Linked DNA regions of Saccharomyces cerevisiae S288C. The gene in region 2 interacts genetically with the main gene of each other region. Each region holds a gene or a part of one and is shown on either strand. Other genes may lie near its edges. The genes, in order: YKL069W, TUM1, ROM2 and SWI5.

Region 1 (3,041 bases), on a different chromosome or scaffold from region 2:
TCCAGGTAACACAATATCGCCAATGATTTTTATCAAGTAAGACTATCGCATCCAGAAGATTATTAGTTTAATGTTGTTCGATAAGGCCTATTTTTAGGCTCTTTTTTCAACATTTCCAATCGTCATGTGAAAACTGTACAAGCCACTTAATTTCTCAAAGACCTCGCCACAGAGAAAAGCTCATATCTGTGGCATCACTTACTGCTTCTATGCATTGATAAATCTAGCTAGAATTTTCACCGATATCATGCAAGTAAATGATAGAAAATCATCACAGTTACGCATCAAACACATTTTGAACGTTCCTTTCTTCTTTACGGCAAAGTAAGCATGCCTTTAGCGAGACTGGGGTGAGCTGAAGAAGAACTTGCTGCACTATAGATATGACTTTAGATGTCCGTTATTCAACAATTAAGTGGTTTCGTGGTCTAGTCGGTTATGGCATCTGCTTAACACGCAGAACGTCCCCAGTTCGATCCTGGGCGAAATCAATTTTTTTTTCCGTCAGATATCTCCGTCATTTTCGTTGACGTTTTTTTCTTACCAAGCAAAGATATTTTTAATAAATGCTGAATATCCTTTGTTTGAGGGTAAACATGCCATAAATTTGCAATAAGGGTTACAAATAAAGATTGAGAGCTGTCAATTTGGCGAACAGGGAATGTTTTCTTCACCAATGATCTCCTGAAGCCCCTCAATCTTTCTTGATGTTTATCTCTATTCGTGCCCGTCCGACAATATATTTGACAAGAGAGCTACATGGGAATATTGGTTATGTGCGTAAATACTTGTTCGTTCTCAAAACTCTTATTTAAAGACACATGATTTATTAATTAATTTAGCAAGTTTTTCTAGGAATTCTTTGTCTACGTGGTCGAATCCTTCGTAATCCAAACAATCTATGTCTATGACGCCCAATGTCTTACCATCATTGGATATGATTGGAACAACAATTTCGCTCTTGGTTTCACCGTCGCACGCAATATGACCGGGATACTTGTTGACATCTGGAACAATCTGCGTTTCCTTTGTAGAGGCTGCAGTTCCGCAAACACCTTTACCGAATTGAATCATTTGGCAAGCGACCTTTCCTTGAAATGGGCCCAATATCAGTGTGTTTTCTTCGCTAGCTTGAGTAACGTAAAATCCAGCCCAATTGATATCAACAGCTAATGACTTGTACGCATGCCAGATCAATGACGAAGCGTTTGACAAATTACAAACCCAATTGACTTGTCCATCTGATAGCCCCTCGTATGAAAGCAGAAGCTGTTCTAGAATTTCTTCCTTATTCAGATTTGAAGAATAGTTAACATGATCGGCATGATGAAACCCGGTTGATGAGCCCATATCTGTTTGTTTTTTTTTGTTTTTTTTTCTAATTTACGGATTTGTTTTATCAGCAAACGCCTTTGTTTGCTTACATTTGGGAAAATCGTCATCATATAAACATGAAGAAACCGATGATATTAGCGTTCGTTAAAAAGGATAATACTTCGTTGTAAACTCAACTGTAAATATCTTTCTTCATTTCCTCCAAACATGGTTTTCTAACTGCAGGGAATAGGTAAACCTTTGCGTTTGTGTTCTTTCTGCATCACGGTGGGCCTTGCCCTCTGTTAAGTCAATATTAAAAGATAAGATAAGAAAAGAATGAAAACGAATAAATAATTATTGATATTTAATGCGCAGAGAAAATACAAAACTTATAAGCTACCTGGATAGTTATCTTTTACAAGGCGAGCCATTTCTTGGCCTCTTTCTCCACCAAATTCTTTGAATTTTCAACATATGCCTTCAACATTAATCTGTGATTTATTTTGGTCGAATTTGAACTTTGATTGAATATGGGTAATACTGATTTCAAGCCCGACAATGTTTTGAAGCATAGCATTGATATAATAATCTGGGGCATCAGAAACGCTCCACTTTACTTCGTACATTTTCCCCCTCAGGTCTTTTCTCTTCTTCTTGGTCAGTCAAAGTTGATAACATATTAATAAGCCAGTCTTTATCGTCGCGGATAATCCTTGGTGTACCGTAAACGTGCACAGCGGCAAAATCCCATGTTGGTACGAACTTATGGGTCTTTTTCTTCATTGGGAACCACGCCGGAGAAATGTATGAATCGACGCTCTGAAATACCACTAAGCATTTTTGAACTCTTTCCAGCATTTCCACATGTTTATTCTTCCGTGCTAAATGTGCAATAAGTTTATGCTCTCCATTATCGAACTCCACGAATACAAATGGAATATGTGATGCGCACATACCAAAATCGGGGTCATCTTTATTGGAAGAAGTTCTCCATCCGAAGAAACCTTGCCTGCTAGCCTTAGAGGAGAATAGTGTTCCTAGCGGGGGTTTTTTTGATAATTTGTACCTTGAGAGTTCCATGGACTCAAAATGTTTAGGAATGTACATTATGAAATAGATTCTTGGATTCTTCTCAGACTGGCAATTTATGTCTATAATATTAAGGGATGGTTTTCGGCGAATATGCAGAATCTTCGGTTCTAGGACCAGTTATATACCATCCTAATTAAAATCAGAGGACATAATAGAGATAGTTTCAAATCTGGTTAAGCGTTAAAAGATCAGCATACAAAGTGATGCCACAAAATACCTTCTTAAAGGGGCGTGAGGCAAAAGCAAAGTCACATCATATAGCACCTACCAATAAAAAAGTGTATTACACAAAGGTATATTCCGTATCTGAGTTGTATATAAGTAGCCAAATTTGCACTTATCTAAAAGACGCCTTCGCTGCCGTCATAGTTGAAGAACTTTCCATTATCTTCTGGTAAAATTTTTCGGAAGACATCAATTAGCGCAGAGGCACTTTCTTCTGGTGTGATAATATTTACGCCGCTGATGTCTATATTCTTCTCTTTAAAATGATCAAGGCCATATTGGCCCATATCAGTAGATACCATACCTGGGTGAAAAGCAACGACAGTAAAACCCTCCGGTTTCAATTCAAAACTGAGCGTCTTTACCGCATAATTCAAGGCAGCTTTCGATTGACCATAAGCGGAAAC
Region 2 (3,609 bases):
GTAGATTATAAATATATTTCATAGTATGGTTAGGCTTGACAGTTATTGTATTCGTAGTTAAATCAGGACATTTCCATAATAATTCTGTTTCTTCGACAGCGTATATGGGAAACTTCCAGTTCTGAAAAGTGTACTCATCATCTACTGCCAACTCGGTGCCAAATATCTCAACTATGCCCGAGTTTACCTTGACTATCAGTTTTCCCTCTGCTTTAAGATCAATTTGCCAATCACTGCCCTTGGGAATAACCAACTTGTGCCATTCGTTATCACCAGTTATCAATTCTTCAGAGGTAGTATGCTCATCAATACCAGGTAGACTTGCCATGATGGTTTAATCGTGTTGGAATTTCGAAAAGAATTAATAGTTTGTTCTTTTCCCTCGATAGAAAGGTCTCTGCTCATTTTTGCCAGCAGTCTTATTTTTTGCTGTTATTTTCTATTTTACCGGGCAATAACAATGAAGAGCACAAATAAGACAAAGAAAGGGAGATCGCCCTTTAAGTAAGTAGATAGATAATTAATATATGTAGCTAAATAAATCGACTTGTCAAGAATATATTTCTCTTATTAATCTCTGTTTTCAGCAATCCACTCGGGCCCGGATTTCAAGACCCACTCGGTCCAGGATCCATCATATAATCTAACATTGGGAACTCCTGCTAGCTCCAATGCTGTCTTGATAATGACTCCTGAAACGCCAGTTCCACAAGAGCAAATAGTTGGTTTACTTGGGTCCAAAGTGCAATGAAAGTCTTTCAATGCCTTTTCCAAAGTAGCGTGTATCGCCTCCCCAGCTTCTGGGTACGTTTTGGTCTCCGGATCAAGTAAACTTCCATATGGTAATGGTTGGGTACCTGGAATATGCCCCGATGGAATGTCGGAACGAGGCTCTGGTTCTGTACCTTCGAATCTACCGAGCGACCTTGCATCGAAAGCATTGAATTTCTTAGCCAGTTCCCCACTCTTTACCAATTGGAACATTTCCTCATAGTCTACAATCTCCTTGTCTTGGAAACTTTCTGAGGACTCATAATGACTCTTTGGATAGGGTGAAAACGCTGCCACCTTAGAGGAATCTAGAGGGTACTTAAACTCTCTGTACTGGTTGAAATTATTTAGTAAGTACACCTTAGGATGTCCCATCACTCCTAATGTCCAAGCACATCTAGGGGAGCTAAAGTTACCAACACGATCGTAAACCACTAATATATCATCTTTTTGAACTCCTAAATTACTCATAGCGTCGTCAAAAACCTTCTTTGTAGGGAACATATGTGGATAGGGCGATTTTTTGTCACTGATTGCATCAATATCAAAGAAAATGGAGTTTGGTATACGTGGTTTGGTCAAGAAATCCACTTTATTATCAAGCTTCCAACTGGGTAGGTACCATGTTGCATCAACTGGAACGATTCTATGAACCTTCTCACTGGCCACTAACTTAACAAACGCTTTTGGAGAAATAAGATCAAATAATGGCATTGAATGTATGGGCAATTTTCTTCACAACTTTATGCTTTTGTCCTCATTGTTTGAATGCACTTACGCTGTATTATTGTACACAGCTGAACATCCCGAGCGAAAATTTTAAAATGGTTTAATAGACGAGATGAGAGATGAGCTCTTTAAAGGTACTTTCTAAGAAGAAAAGTATCGGAACAGGACTTACCACGACAAACTAATCATGCCGGTTACTAAATCTTTATCTAAGTTGCAAAAGAACTTATCCAAGAAAGGGAAAAATATCACGGTTCATCCGAAGGGTAGAAAGTATGAAAAGCTGGTCAGGGCTACTATGCGTGAAGATAAAATCGCAGCCAAAAAGAAGCTTCATCAAGACAAAAGAGTCCACGAACTAGCTCGGGTAAAATTTATGCAGGATGTAGTTAACTCTGATACATTCAAAGGGCAACCAATATTTGATCACGCCCACACAAGAGAGTTTATTCAAAGTTTTATTGAAAGAGATGATACGGAATTAGACGAACTCAAGAAGAAGAGGAGGTCAAACAGGCCACCAAGCAATAGACAAGTGCTACTGCAACAAAGGAGGGATCAAGAGTTAAAAGAATTTAAGGCGGGGTTTCTCTGTCCAGACTTGAGTGATGCGAAGAATATGGAATTTCTAAGAAACTGGAATGGCACTTTTGGCCTTTTGAATACTCTAAGATTGATCAGAATTAATGATAAAGGTGAACAAGTCGTTGGAGGAAATGAATAAGAAGTGTCGCAGAGGAATCTTTATGGTTTATATGCTCTTTATATAATTTTATGTATATTATAGTAGAAAAAGCAAAGAAAAAAAAGAAAATTGATATTATTAGCGAAGCTTTTTCACAAATTAATCCGTAACAAACAAATTGGCAAAGACAATTGAAGGGAGTAGTGCGAAATATGGGCCGTGATATATGCACATTAGACAATGTTTACGCTAACAATTTGGGCATGCTAACCAAACTAGCTCATGTGACAGTACCAAACTTATATCAAGATGCCTTCTTCAGTGCATTATTCGCTGAGGATAGCTTAGTTGCAAAAAATAAAAAGCCATCTTCGAAGAAGGATGTACATTTCACACAGATGGCTTATTACAGTGAAATACCAGTGGGTGGTTTGGTTGCTAAATTAGTTCCTAAAAAACAAAACGAACTATCTCTCAAGGGCATTCAAATCGAATTTTTGGGCGTGTTGCCTAATTATAGGCACAAATCCATCGGTTCAAAATTACTGAAGTTTGCAGAAGACAAATGCTCAGAATGTCATCAACATAACGTGTTTGTCTATTTACCAGCAGTGGATGATCTTACAAAGCAATGGTTTATAGCTCATGGCTTCGAACAAGTGGGCGAAACTGTCAACAATTTCATAAAAGGTGTAAATGGCGACGAACAAGATGCTATCTTATTGAAAAAACACATTTCTTAACAGATGGCTGAAAAATTTTTTTTTTTTTTTTGGTTTTGCTTTGTATACACATGTATCTATTTTTATAAAGATGAAATATATACGTCTAAGAGCTAAAATGAAAAACTATACTAATCACTTATATCTATTCTGGTGATTCATCATCTTCAGCTTCTGTATCCGTATCGATATCAGTATAATCGCTAGCATCACTTTCATCATCACTTTCGGTTTCGTCGTCATCAGTAGAGTACTCATCATCCTCCTCAGAATACACCTCTACTTGTTCCACTGCAGGAGAATCACGAACTTTCATATTCATGGTAATATCCAAATCTGTAGTGAAATAATCTGTGGATTTAACGATTACTCTAAAAAAGAAATCACCAACAGTTTCAGGTGCAGGCTGACCTAATGGAATTTTTATGGTCCCGATTTCCCAATCATTTATATCGAATTTTTCGTGTTTGGTTAAATCCATTTTTATCCTCTTATCAAAGAAATCTTTGTCATCGTTCAAGTTCTTGTAAGATAGCTTTTCAATGATAATTGGCGTTTGAAGTATTTTACCATCTTTTTGAGAACTTACCAGACAGCACCAACTCCCACGTCTCTTTGTAGGGAAAAATGGTGCAAAGGAATATGGGACGAGTGGCTGTTTACTCATCATAGCAAATGGATCTCTTTGAGATTCAAAATCTT
Region 3 (6,748 bases), on a different chromosome or scaffold from region 2:
CAACCATAAAACTAGAGAAATAGAAGTCAAAAACAAGTTGTGTATCTCGAAAAGCAATTTAAACTTTAATGGAGAGGCGTTCAAGGCGCGTAAGATAGCTTGGCCACCAAAGATAATAATGTAATAAACGATAATAATACTAACAGCATGATACCCGTTAGCCAAGAAAGTCTTATTGTGAATAAACTCGAATTGCTCAGCTGGATAGCCACTAAAGTATTCAAACACTTTGGAGAAAATTGGCCATAATTCAATACCGAATGGGTTCTCAATGGAAGGAACATGAACCTTCAAGAAACATGAAGAAGAAGAGTTCAAAGACTGGAACTGGTCGGCAACTGCTGCTATAACAGTAGATGTGGTAGTGTTCATGACTGTTTATGTTTCGTAAACAAACGGAAAAAAGCCGAATAAATAAACTAGAAGTAAGCTTGAAGCGAGTGAAGAGCTGTCAAAAACCAATCAATGACCAAATAAAAAGACACCAGATATGCGGAAAATACACAGTACCTAACTGGGGTAATAAGTTAAATAAAACTTCAAACAAGGCTAAACAACAAACAGAAGACTCCAGATAAATATTTTATACAATTATTTACTAAGAACCTGTGAAAAAAAAAAAAGACAAGCCAAATGCGTAAGCCAACCTTTTGTTTATTCACAGTCTGGAAAATTTTCTGAAAATTTTTCACTTTGTGGACGGAATAAAAACTTCGAAGCTTTGGGAAGAAAAATTTCGCGTTTTTTTTTCTCGCGTCATCAATCATTTGCATACAAATCCCTCTGACGGTGAATTATCATTATTATATTATAAAATTATTATTTATGTCGTTTTCCACTATTGTCATCAATGTTTATTATTCATAATTCTGCTCCTTTTACAACTTTAGTTATGCTTTTTATTCTAAAGAAAATAAGGAAAGTCTATATACGTTGCTATCTTAACCCCAGAAATCTAACGACGCAACTGTATCATACCCGCGATAATCCTCGTAGCAGTACAGGATTTCTTGAGTACTTGTTTGTAGAAGTCGAATCTTATCAGCAAGGACGCAACGAATTAATTCGCCAGTTTCAATCTTTCTGATCTCAATGAAGTTGCTGTCGAATGCCAAGATGTACGGGTACCAAATTGCAAATTTTTGGGGCTCTCCCTCCCAATGAATAATATGCGATTCTTTCTTTCTCCAACCCTGATTATTGACAAAGAAGGCAAATTCTGTGTAACACAGCAAAAACATATTTCCCACACGATAGATTGCCATTGGTTTCAAAGTATCCCTTAGTGCAAACTCTAATGATGTATCGGCCGGATCTAACAAGGATTCATGAGCATTCTGTGAAATGCTAACGATCTGAAAACCCTTTTTACAGCCAATGCATAGGTTGGCCTTGAGAAATGAAATAGAGACAGGTTCAGAATCAAAAATAACCTCGGTGATTTTTTTCTTGAGACTTTTTTTGTTACCGCTACCACTACCATTTTTTTCGGCCAATAATGGATGTTCATGCTCGAAGTACTTAATTGAATGCGATGAACTGTGTGCAGTCACGATTAATCTCTTACCATTGCAATCTCCTTCTGCGAAGAAACTCACATGATTGATCAGTTCCTTGTGATGCTTTTTGAAGAAAGATGTCCCATTACCTTCTGCTTCGATTAATGACAGCGGACAACTGTATAATTTTTTATCAATTAAAAGTATGATTGATTTGAATTCTTCTAATACAGCAATTTGAGTGATATTATTTCTTTGTACTAGTTGGATTGGAGTTGAAAAAAAAGCAGAGCTTTTATGTCTATGATCTTTATTCTGCTGTCTTTTAATGTTGCTCATATACAATCCAGAGTTCGTTGCAATCAGAAGTTTTCTACCCCCATCACAGGAAGTAACACTGTTAATTTTGTTGGTGTAATCGAAGAACCTATCGCTCATTTTCGTTACATTGAACATCTCCGTTTTGCTTATAATAGCTGCTTGTCCTTGCTTTATTTTTTCCAAAAGCGTTTGCAATCCAGCGTATTGCGCAGCATATAATGTAACTTGATATCTCTGCTTGGCACCGTAGTATAAGAAAGTTATTGCGTTTTTAGGATTACTCGTGTTGTATTCTGGTTGAATTACAGTTCCTGAACAATCTGGGTGGTCTCCAATATATTTCCTCAACGCAGGCATATCTTCACCTGGACATGCAAATAACAATGGCAATGGAATGGGCCTTTGGAATACCTTATGCTGGTGCCATTTATTAACTGCTTTGGCCTTTAAAAATAAGAGCATATTATCTAGAAGATAAAATTGTATGTCACCAACAACTGTTCCGTCCGATTTTGACAACTCCTTCCGTGATAGTATACCTTCATGTTTAATTTTTCTCCTTTCGTCATTTAATCCTAAATTAACGTATTCGTTTTTGAAAAGAATCTTTTGTTTCAACAATTTTACATCATGTCTATCTTGTGCAGCACCACTTGCTTGATCAATCCTTTTCATAAAATCCCTTAATGCATCCATGGCTTTGCTTAAATCTTCATAATCACTTTTGTCCTTCTCGGGGTCAGTAGATTTCATGATTTCTTTGACCAATAGCATATATCGACCTGGTCTTGAAACACCTTGAGATAAAAACGAATCAATACCATGACGTAAGGAGGAGCTCATCATATCGTCATCAAATCTAGCAAAATAGGGATTGACTGATCTTTGGGTTTCAATCAAGTACTTCGCATATGGTCTTGAAGCGACATATGAAACAAATGGTTCAAAAAATGGAATGAATCTTAAAACAATGTCCCCAATTCCTCTCACAACTGGTGAACTTCTTTGCCTATCAGTTAAAGCCTTCAAAAAACGTCTATTCACTGAATAGATATCGTTTATATGTGCAAAAACATGCTTGATGAAATTTTTTCTAATATCTGCTGAAATAATATTTGTTTCAGCCAAAGTCTTCATGAATGTGTCTCTTGTAATTTCTAATGATTTTACAAAGTTCTTCTCCGTGATATAAACTTCATAAATAGCCTCTTGTCTTTTTATTTCCTTTTTTGGTAAGTTTTCCCAATCCTCTTTAGATACGGAACTTGTCCAAGATGGCTTTTCTTCGTCATCATCATCCAATGCCATTGATATATTACGTTTCAGGCCGCCATTTGGTTTCAGATTTAACCTTGCTTGTTGCTCAAGACGTCTTGGACACGAAATAGAGTAACACAAAGCGTCTCTTGTGCACGTAGGGGAATAGCATTCCGCCAGTAATGTAAACACACCATTGACGTTATGAATGGCTGCAGGGTTCTTTTGCTGGGACAATGAACTACTCATATGTAGCCTCGACCCTGTCAAAGTTGCCTGATCACTATTCAAAGATGAAGTTGAACTTGATGGAACCATTCCGGAATTCGGATAAGAGTGGTTCCCGGAATTAAAAGATGATGAGTTTGGGAGTAGCATCAGTGGATCATGGGCGTTTGTGGAACCTGTTCCTGTAAATCTTGAGTTATCTGTAAATTCGTAAACTTCATGTGGTGAATCTCTTAACCTGTGCTCGTATACCACATCATGGAACAGCTTTTGTGCATCTAGTGATCTACCAAATAACAAGGCTAAGTTTCTATCAGAAGTTCTAATGATAGCACAGATGACATCGACTGCCTGCTGCCCTGTAAATGCGTCACGGTAAACTAATCCATCCTTCTTATGTTCCCCGAGTTGTATCGAACTTTTAAATTTTGTGGCGACTCTTGACAACAAAGCTGGATATACCTGAGGTTTTTTTGATGAAGCGCTCATAACAGGTCTAGATGCCGACAAAGGTGTCATACTACTTCTACGTGGAGAAGATAGAGAAGTTCCTGAAACCGAAGTGTATCTTTTTAAAGCTAATGAGGTGGAAGAAACTCTCGTTTTAAGACCCAACCCAATATTAGACGAGCTTCCCATAACACTTGAGGAGTTTCCAGACCCGTGGACATTATTTAGGCTACTGTGACTGTTTGAAGAGTGATGATGATGATGATGATGATGAGGATCTGAGAATGGGTTGGAAGTTATATCATATTTTTGCGTAGCTTTCCTGCTGTTAGAAGTCTTCGATTGAAAAGATGATGCAATATTTTTTAGAGTAGATGAGTTCAACGACATCGATCTAGATGATATAGAATGTGAATGTTGAGGGTAATTACTGTTACTACTACCCACTTGATAATGTGCGCCATTATTATTAGTATTATTATTATTATGATTGTTAATATTATTATGCTGAATATGCTGGTGATGTTGGTGCTGTTCGTGCAAGTCTTTGGAACTTGGTCTCGAAAAGAAACCAAACCCTTGCAAAGGCGATTTTCTAGCCTGTGTAGGAGTGGTTGATGCACTGCCGGTGGAAAAACTGCTCTGCTTCTTAAGACCAGCAAGTGCTAGTTGCGGGAGCGAAGGTTTCCTCTTAGGCACAAAAGCTGTAGTACTTTTATTCTTCTGGTAAACTTCATTTCTTGGAGACATTGGAGGCAAAGGGTGGTCATTATAGTGCTTGGCTTGTCTACTAGCACTATTACTCGTTGAATATATATGGGACATCGATTTAGCATGAACAATGGGATGGGAAGATGTGGCATCTCTTGCCTTCTTTGGACTGCTCACAGGTGTATTATCAGCACTAGACAAACTTTGTGTATCTGGAACTTCCTTAATATTAGTCTGCTGCGATAAAATGTAATTTGAGCTTTTCCCCTTCATTTCGTTATTTGGTATATCAGAATCATCGATGGCGGCTTCAACTCCAGAACGTCTCCTCTGCTTGGCAATAATGATGTCATTAGCAATGTCTTCAGAAAGCAGAACATTTAGATTCTGGATATTTTCGATTCTATTAGGCAGCAGCTGAGAACTTATGTCTCCGTGCGAGTCACTATCAAAAGTAGCGAAGGAATCTGGCCTCCTTTCTACACCAAATATTTGGGAGTATATGTCATTTCTGTCCCCTAAGCTGTCAACGTTGGTTTCGCTCATAACCGCAGGAAAAGAGATGAATTGTCCAATTAAGTCAGCAGTAATAGAGCACTGTAATCGATTACACTAACAGAGCGAATGAATATATTAATGACCACAAACAACAAATAAAAAAATAGCTATAAAACAGCAAAAAAAAAATCCAGGAAAACCTAATCGGCTCAATACTGTTATTAAATTAGGTCGTCAGTACTCACTGGTCATAATGCCCTTTAAAAACTTTCTTCAAGCCTTAGGACCTCGGACTTCCATACCATTGTTTTCACTATCATTCTCTCTCAGTTTCACAGACTCGGCCGTTACGCGGATCATCCACCACGAACCCCTATCCTTTCCGTTGCGGTTTGGTTTAGTATAACAATGAATAACAATAAATTAAACACTTGGTGCGCAGTAACAAACATCAATAAAGGAAGATTATTGGTATTATCAGTCTCTCCACTCCCAGTATATTAATAAATGCCTGCGTATCACTCGACTTTCCCTGTAGATCCTAACACTGACCGCATGGTAGGGAACTTTGCGCTTCTGCCCTTGAACACTAAGTTCAGGGGTCCTGCATACCCCAGCAATTCCGATTACGATATTATCGACGAGTGCTTGGACCTATTTCGTGCCAATTCCTTCTTCAAGAATTTTGAAATTAAATCACCCGCCGACAGAGTGCTCATCTACGGAATTCTCTTTATCAATGATTGCCTAGCCCATTTGAAAATAACAACGTCATTTAACGAAGCCGTCAAAGTGTTAACCAATGTGGCCTTGGACAACTTTACTTTACCAGGTACACCGGGTTTCCCTCTGAATAATGTTTACCAAGTTCCAGTACAAGATCATAATTCGATGGACTTGTTGAAGACTTATATTCAGCAATTCCGTCAAGAATTGGCAATGAGACTATTAGAAAGAGTCTATAGCTCTACAGATTCTAAGGAATATCCCTCAAAGTTTTGGTTGGCGTTCACAAGAAGAAGATTCATGAACAAATCTCTATAAAGGTATACGGTGCAAGGAAAATAATAAAAACTAGAATTTATGGGAACATAATAATCCACATGCAACTTTATTTGAACCGAAAATTTGAAACGGGAAAGAAATATATAAATGTATAAAGTATAAATACGTCAAAATATGCTTTAATGAACGATATACACGTTAATATACAAGTCTTATTTGTGTTTTGTTCACTTATTTACCTTGATTCTGCTGGTTTTTTGTTGCGCTTTGGAATAATTTTAATGCCCTACCCTGTAGCGCATCCGTAGCTTTTTTTATTCCGTTTACATCAATTGACATGTCATTTTCGTTAGCCTTAAAATTCTTTATAGCTTGTCTCAGAGCTTTGATGTCCTCTACGATATTAGAATACTCTTTTTCGCTAGAAATCAGTTTTTCATATCTTTTAAATAAATTCTCAGTATCACTTATCATAATGTCAGCCTTAGAGATAAGCTCTAACCTTTGCCTGATCAAGTTATCTTGTGCCCTATTTGCATTTGCTTCTTCAATAAGTTTTGCAATTTCCTCTTCGCTTAACCCAGAATTTGGTATTACAGTAATGGATTGTTGTTTCCCACTACTTTTCTCAGCGGCAGATACGTTGATGATACCATCCGCATCGATATCAAAAGTAACATATATTTGGGGAATGCCTTTAGGCAAAGGGGTGATTCCTGTAAGTTTCAAATCACCAATCAACTTGTTGTTACGCACTAACCCTCTTTCACCCTGAAAAA
Region 4 (4,809 bases), on a different chromosome or scaffold from region 2:
TAACTGCCACCAATAATCCCAGGGGCAATGTTAACACTTCACAGACTGAACAATCGAAAGCTAAGGTAACCAATGTAAATGCAACGGCATCTATGTTGAATAATATAAGTTCGAGCAAATCGGCAATATTCAAACAAACAGAGCCTGCCATACCCATATCGGAAAATATATCTACCAAAACACCAGCACCGGTAGCTTATAGATCCAACAGACCTACAATAACTGGAGGTTCTGCTATGAATGCCAGTGCTTTGAATACACCAGCAACAACTAAATTACCACCCTATGAAATGGATACTCAGAGAGTTATGTCAAAGCGTAAATTAAGAGAGTTAGTGAAGACTGTCGGAATTGATGAGGGTGACGGTGAAACTGTCATTGACGGTGATGTTGAGGAATTACTATTGGATCTTGCCGACGATTTTGTTACTAATGTTACAGCTTTTTCTTGTAGATTGGCAAAACACAGAAAATCGGACAATTTGGAGGCAAGAGACATTCAGTTACATTTGGAGAGAAATTGGAATATTAGGATTCCTGGTTATTCCGCAGACGAAATAAGAAGTACAAGAAAATGGAATCCCTCTCAAAATTATAACCAGAAATTGCAGAGTATCACATCAGATAAGGTAGCAGCTGCAAAAAACAATGGAAACAATGTTGCAAGCTTGAATACAAAAAAATAATTATGTTACCCACATTCTCCACTCTTCCACAGAAAAAATTCCTAAAGTTATAGTTCACATTGTTATATATGTATCTATAAAGCGAAATTTTTTAAAATTAATTGATTAATTAATATTTTGTATCTAAAGTGTTCATACTATATTATTTACTTAGATTATACATAATTAAAAAAAAAAAAAACTTTTTTTCCTTGTTTTCATTTTGTTTTTATTATTAAATATTAAAAAAAGTGTCCATAACATCAATGTTTTTTTTTACCTTTGATTAGTTTTCATTGGCGAAACCATAATCCCCGTTCCATTCCCATCATAACTACGCTCTCTTCTGAGTTGATCTTCAAGCTTGAACATCAACTGTCCATTATGATCCTTGTTAATATTTTCTTTGATTGGACTACTAGAAACACTTGAAGTTCCATCTTTTCTTGGTCTTCCTCTTTTTCTTGGAGACCTTTTAATTACCACGTTTTCATACTTTTTACCACCGCTGCAAATCATTCTACTTCTGTGCACAACCAAAGCGTCTTCTCTATTGAATTTCTTACCACAGGGACATGCATACGCCTTTTCTTGGTGCGATTTTTTGTGTCTTATCAAGTCATGATTTCGTACAAATGCCTTATCACATCCAGGGTGATCACAGGAATATGGCCGATCTTCCAAATGTGTTTGAATATGAGATCTGATGTTATACCTTCTCTTGAATGTTTTTGTACATCCAGGAAATAAACATTCAAATGTTTTATCAGGCATTTCCTTCACATATTTATCGATTGAACCTCTGGGCAGTGTTGTGAGTTTTCTTGTGATTTTTGAGGGACTATTTGTGGTATATGTGTTGATTTCCTTAATGTGTGTGCCGAATTGAGGAGATCTTCCTTCGTACTTACTTTGTGACTTAAGAACGGGAGAAGGCGTTTCGGAAATAACAAATCTACTTTCAGGCTCATTTTCCTCATTATCATCTCCTTCATTGTCTGTATTTTTCGTAAGTACATTAGGGTCTAAATCATTGAAAACGCCTTCCCGATGTCGTGCTTGCTGGCTCGGCGGCTTTAGATGTGGTGTCGCAGCATTGATACCCAATGCATTCTCACTGATAGAGCTAAAGTGTAACTGCTTACCTCTTGGTGTATATTGGTCTATATAACTGGAGGAAAGGGATACTTTATTGACTGATGGAGTATTATTTACAGACCCAGGAATTGTAGGCATAATATCCACAGAAGCACTCTTTAAAGACACTGATTTTGTAGGAGAAGGACCTGGTTTTCCAAGAAGTTCAATACCCAGGCCCAAAGGTTTCTCTGAATATTCGCTTTCCTGATCTTCAACATTAATCTTGAAATCTAACCTTAAGTTATTAGGGGTAATGTTAGCAGAGTTGGACGTAGCTGAACTAACTCTACTCTTTGGAGTGAAGGGCGTAATAAATTTGGTTTTTGAACTGAGGTTTTCATTTGGATTCGAGCGAATTTTCTTTGGTGAAATGAGGGAGTCATTGAAACCTTCGTTCAATTCCTGGAAACATAGTGGTCCTACAGTACCACTAGAGTTTTTTCTCTGCAGGCAGTACTTTTGTCTATTGTTTCTCCTAGAAGGTGACCCAGTGAACGAAGTATTAGACATTGGTGGGGAAATCATTGGTGAAAGGCTATTTGCGTATACATCCTCCACATTTTCTGAAGCAGGAGAGATCTTCCTTTTGGGAGATAAAAACTGTGGACCATCAGAGTTCTCTAAGGTAGCCTGTAGTTGTTGTTGCTTGTATTGTGTTTGTTTGAGTTCTAACTCTAACTTCTTATTAGCCTCTTGTTGTGCTCTCAATTGCTCGCGCAACTCTTGTTGTTGCTGTAACAGTAATTCCCCGAGGTTTCTATCGAAGCCTTTATTAATTTCACTTTTGTTTATAGTCGACAATAAATTATCCGCCATGGAAATCTTCTTTTCATCGTGGGGCTTATCACTCATTGTTTTTTGATAAACAGTCATACCACTGTCTTGATTTAATCTATTTTCATTCAACAAGCTAGTTGCATTTAGAGTCACTTCTCTTGAATTATTTTCTAAGTCAAAGTTCATACTTTGCCAATCATTTCCTATTAACTCGGAGAAAGTAGAAACCTTGACAGATTTTTCATCAGAAAGTGGTCCCAGCGGAAGGTTTAAGTCATTTATTTCATTCATTATAACTTCGTTGGTTTCACCATAGTTTAGGTTCAATATATTGCCTAAATCATCTGTTGCTAGTGTTTTATATTCGCCTTCTATTGCATAACTCGAAGGGTCACTGCCTCTAGCATTTGAGTAATAAGAGTTGGTTTGTAGGTCAAAATTTAGGCTTTGTACTTTTGAGGCATCAAACCAAGAGTTTGATGTATCCATCTTTTTCGAAAAAACAATGACGTTAATATTTTATTTGATTGCGCTTTAATTATATCGCAGATGTTAAACACGTTCTCAGGATCTATTTACCTAGCTCCAAGAACGAGTTATATGGTGGTATCTATATTGTCGTTCTCAAATCTTTCTTCCAACGATGCCTTTTTGTCTTCCGTGCCAATACATAAATAGTGAATAAAATTGCAGACGATCCTCTATAGTACTCAATCATTGTTTATAGAGCAGATCTATAGGGAGAAAGAAAGATAATTAGTCGCTAATGGTAGGTATTGTTATTGTTTACCTTTTTCCTAAACAGGTTAAAGTACGAAAGTGAAAATTTCATCCTCTCTACTTGCCCGGATTGGGATTCAGACCAAGATATTTCCAACAATGCTGCTATGAATTGGAACAGAGATGTTCTAATGAATATTTAACAAGGTGTGAGCGGAGTGTACCACTCCTATCGGCTTTCAGATAATCATACTACCTTTCAGAATATCTAACAATAACACTCCGATATTTGATTCGCTCTCCTTTAAGACAGAAATAACATTGGCCCTAGAATCCAATGCCGTAAATATCTACTTGACACCATTTAATGAAAGAACTGTCTGACTGCCGAAGTTTTATAAGTAGTTTGACTATGTTTCATAAGTTAGGCCACTAGACAGCATGTGAAAACGGTGATGATAGTAAAAAAATATCGTTTGGGTTTTGGCTACCCGGAGGTCGTTTGCAAAAGAAAGTGTATGCAAATCTACAAAACAATAGATGTCGTTGTTGAGATAACAGATTGGCACAAAATTACTAAATTGTTGTGGTACGCAGCTATAGTTTGTACGAAAGTAGTAGCAGAAATTAACAGATACAGATCTGCAATTTGGCATAATGTACACCAATTATTCACTTACAAGCAGTGACGCAATGCCCCGAACTTACTTGGTCGGCACAGCCTCACCAGAAATGTCTAAGAAAAAGCGCCAGTCTGCAAATTGTGACAAGCCAACGAGGAGGGTGATCCACATCATCGATACTAATGAGCACTCAGAAGTCGACTTGAAAAATGAACTGCCAATAACATGCACGAATGAAGACGGTGAGATGACATCAAGCTCATGGACTTCACAAACCGCTAATGATTTTCTCAAACTGGCATACGTAAACGCGAAATTAGACCCGTCTTTGCCATCTCAATATTTCAAACAAGATATCATAAATGTTTTACAAAGCTTGGAGATTCCTGGATGGTCTGTGCCCGGCTCTAAAGAATCCTCGTTGAATAAGAATTTATTAACTTTGACACAAATCAAGGGGGCCCTTACAAATGTTATTTATAAGATTCACTATCCAAACTTACCCCCTTTACTGATGAGAATTTTTGGTGATAGCATAGATTCTGTAATTGATAGAGAGTATGAATTAAAGGTTATTGCGAGATTATCATTTTATGATTTAGGACCCAAACTAGAAGGGTTTTTTGAAAATGGCAGATTTGAAAAATACATTGAGGGTTCGAGGACATCTACTCAAGCCGACTTTATAGATCGGGATACTTCAATAAAAATTGCTAAAAAATTGAAAGAGTTGCATTGTACTGTTCCATTAACGCATAAAGAAATAACGGATCAACCGTCATGCTGGACAACCTTTGATCAGTGGATCAAATTAATAGACTCGCATAAAGAGTGGGTTTCCAATAATGTAAATATAAGTGAAAATTTACGCTGTTCAAGTTGGA

Evidence for each region.
Region 1: mutations in TUM1 (region 2) and YKL069W together harm fitness more than expected from each alone (negative genetic interaction), as found in Saccharomyces cerevisiae (2 studies listed by BioGRID).
Region 3: mutations in TUM1 (region 2) and ROM2 together harm fitness more than expected from each alone (negative genetic interaction), as found in Saccharomyces cerevisiae (3 studies listed by BioGRID, with this or other methods).
Region 4: mutations in TUM1 (region 2) and SWI5 together harm fitness more than expected from each alone (negative genetic interaction), as found in Saccharomyces cerevisiae (2 studies listed by BioGRID).

Annotation. Positions count from the first base shown.
Region 1 is NC_001143.9:305,594-308,634, reverse strand, and holds YKL069W (L-methionine (R)-S-oxide reductase), read right to left. Parts: upstream 1,351-3,041; coding exon 808-1,350; downstream 1-807. Other genes in the region: YKL070W (uncharacterized protein), read right to left, coding at 1,915-2,424; OSI1 (Osi1p), read right to left, coding at 2,751-3,041. UniProt on the Saccharomyces cerevisiae protein: Catalyzes the reversible oxidation-reduction of the R-enantiomer of free methionine sulfoxide to methionine. Does not act on S-enantiomer of free methionine sulfoxide or R-enantiomer of dabsylated methionine sulfoxide.
Region 2 is NC_001147.6:801,980-805,588, forward strand, and holds TUM1 (thiosulfate sulfurtransferase), read right to left. Parts: upstream 1,486-3,609; coding exon 571-1,485; downstream 1-570. Other genes in the region: cleavage polyadenylation factor subunit CLP1, read right to left, coding at 1-328; TMA16 (Tma16p), read left to right, coding at 1,688-2,224; peptide alpha-N-acetyltransferase subunit NAT5, read left to right, coding at 2,398-2,928; protein-transporting protein SEC63, read right to left, coding at 3,053-3,609. UniProt on the Saccharomyces cerevisiae protein: Sulfur transferase that accepts persulfite from NFS1 and transfers it to UBA4 in the pathway for 2-thiolation of the wobble uridine base of tRNAs. Stimulates sulfur transfer by NFS1.
Region 3 is NC_001144.5:860,978-867,725, reverse strand, and holds ROM2 (Rho family guanine nucleotide exchange factor ROM2), read right to left. Parts: upstream 5,013-6,748; coding exon 942-5,012; downstream 1-941. Other genes in the region: fatty acid elongase ELO3, read right to left, coding at 1-372; ARC18 (Arc18p), read left to right, coding at 5,472-6,008; Hsp70 family ATPase SSQ1, read right to left, coding at 6,201-6,748. UniProt on the Saccharomyces cerevisiae protein: Stimulates the exchange of RHO1 GDP-bound form into GTP-bound form.
Region 4 is NC_001136.10:747,672-752,480, forward strand, and holds SWI5 (DNA-binding transcription factor SWI5), read right to left. Parts: upstream 3,072-4,809; coding exon 942-3,071; downstream 1-941. Other genes in the region: TAF12 (Taf12p), read left to right, coding at 1-686; bifunctional choline kinase/ethanolamine kinase EKI1, read left to right, coding at 3,960-4,809. UniProt on the Saccharomyces cerevisiae protein: Determines the mother-cell-specific transcription of the HO endonuclease gene that is responsible for the initiation of mating-type switching in yeast. Recognizes a specific sequence in the promoter of the HO gene.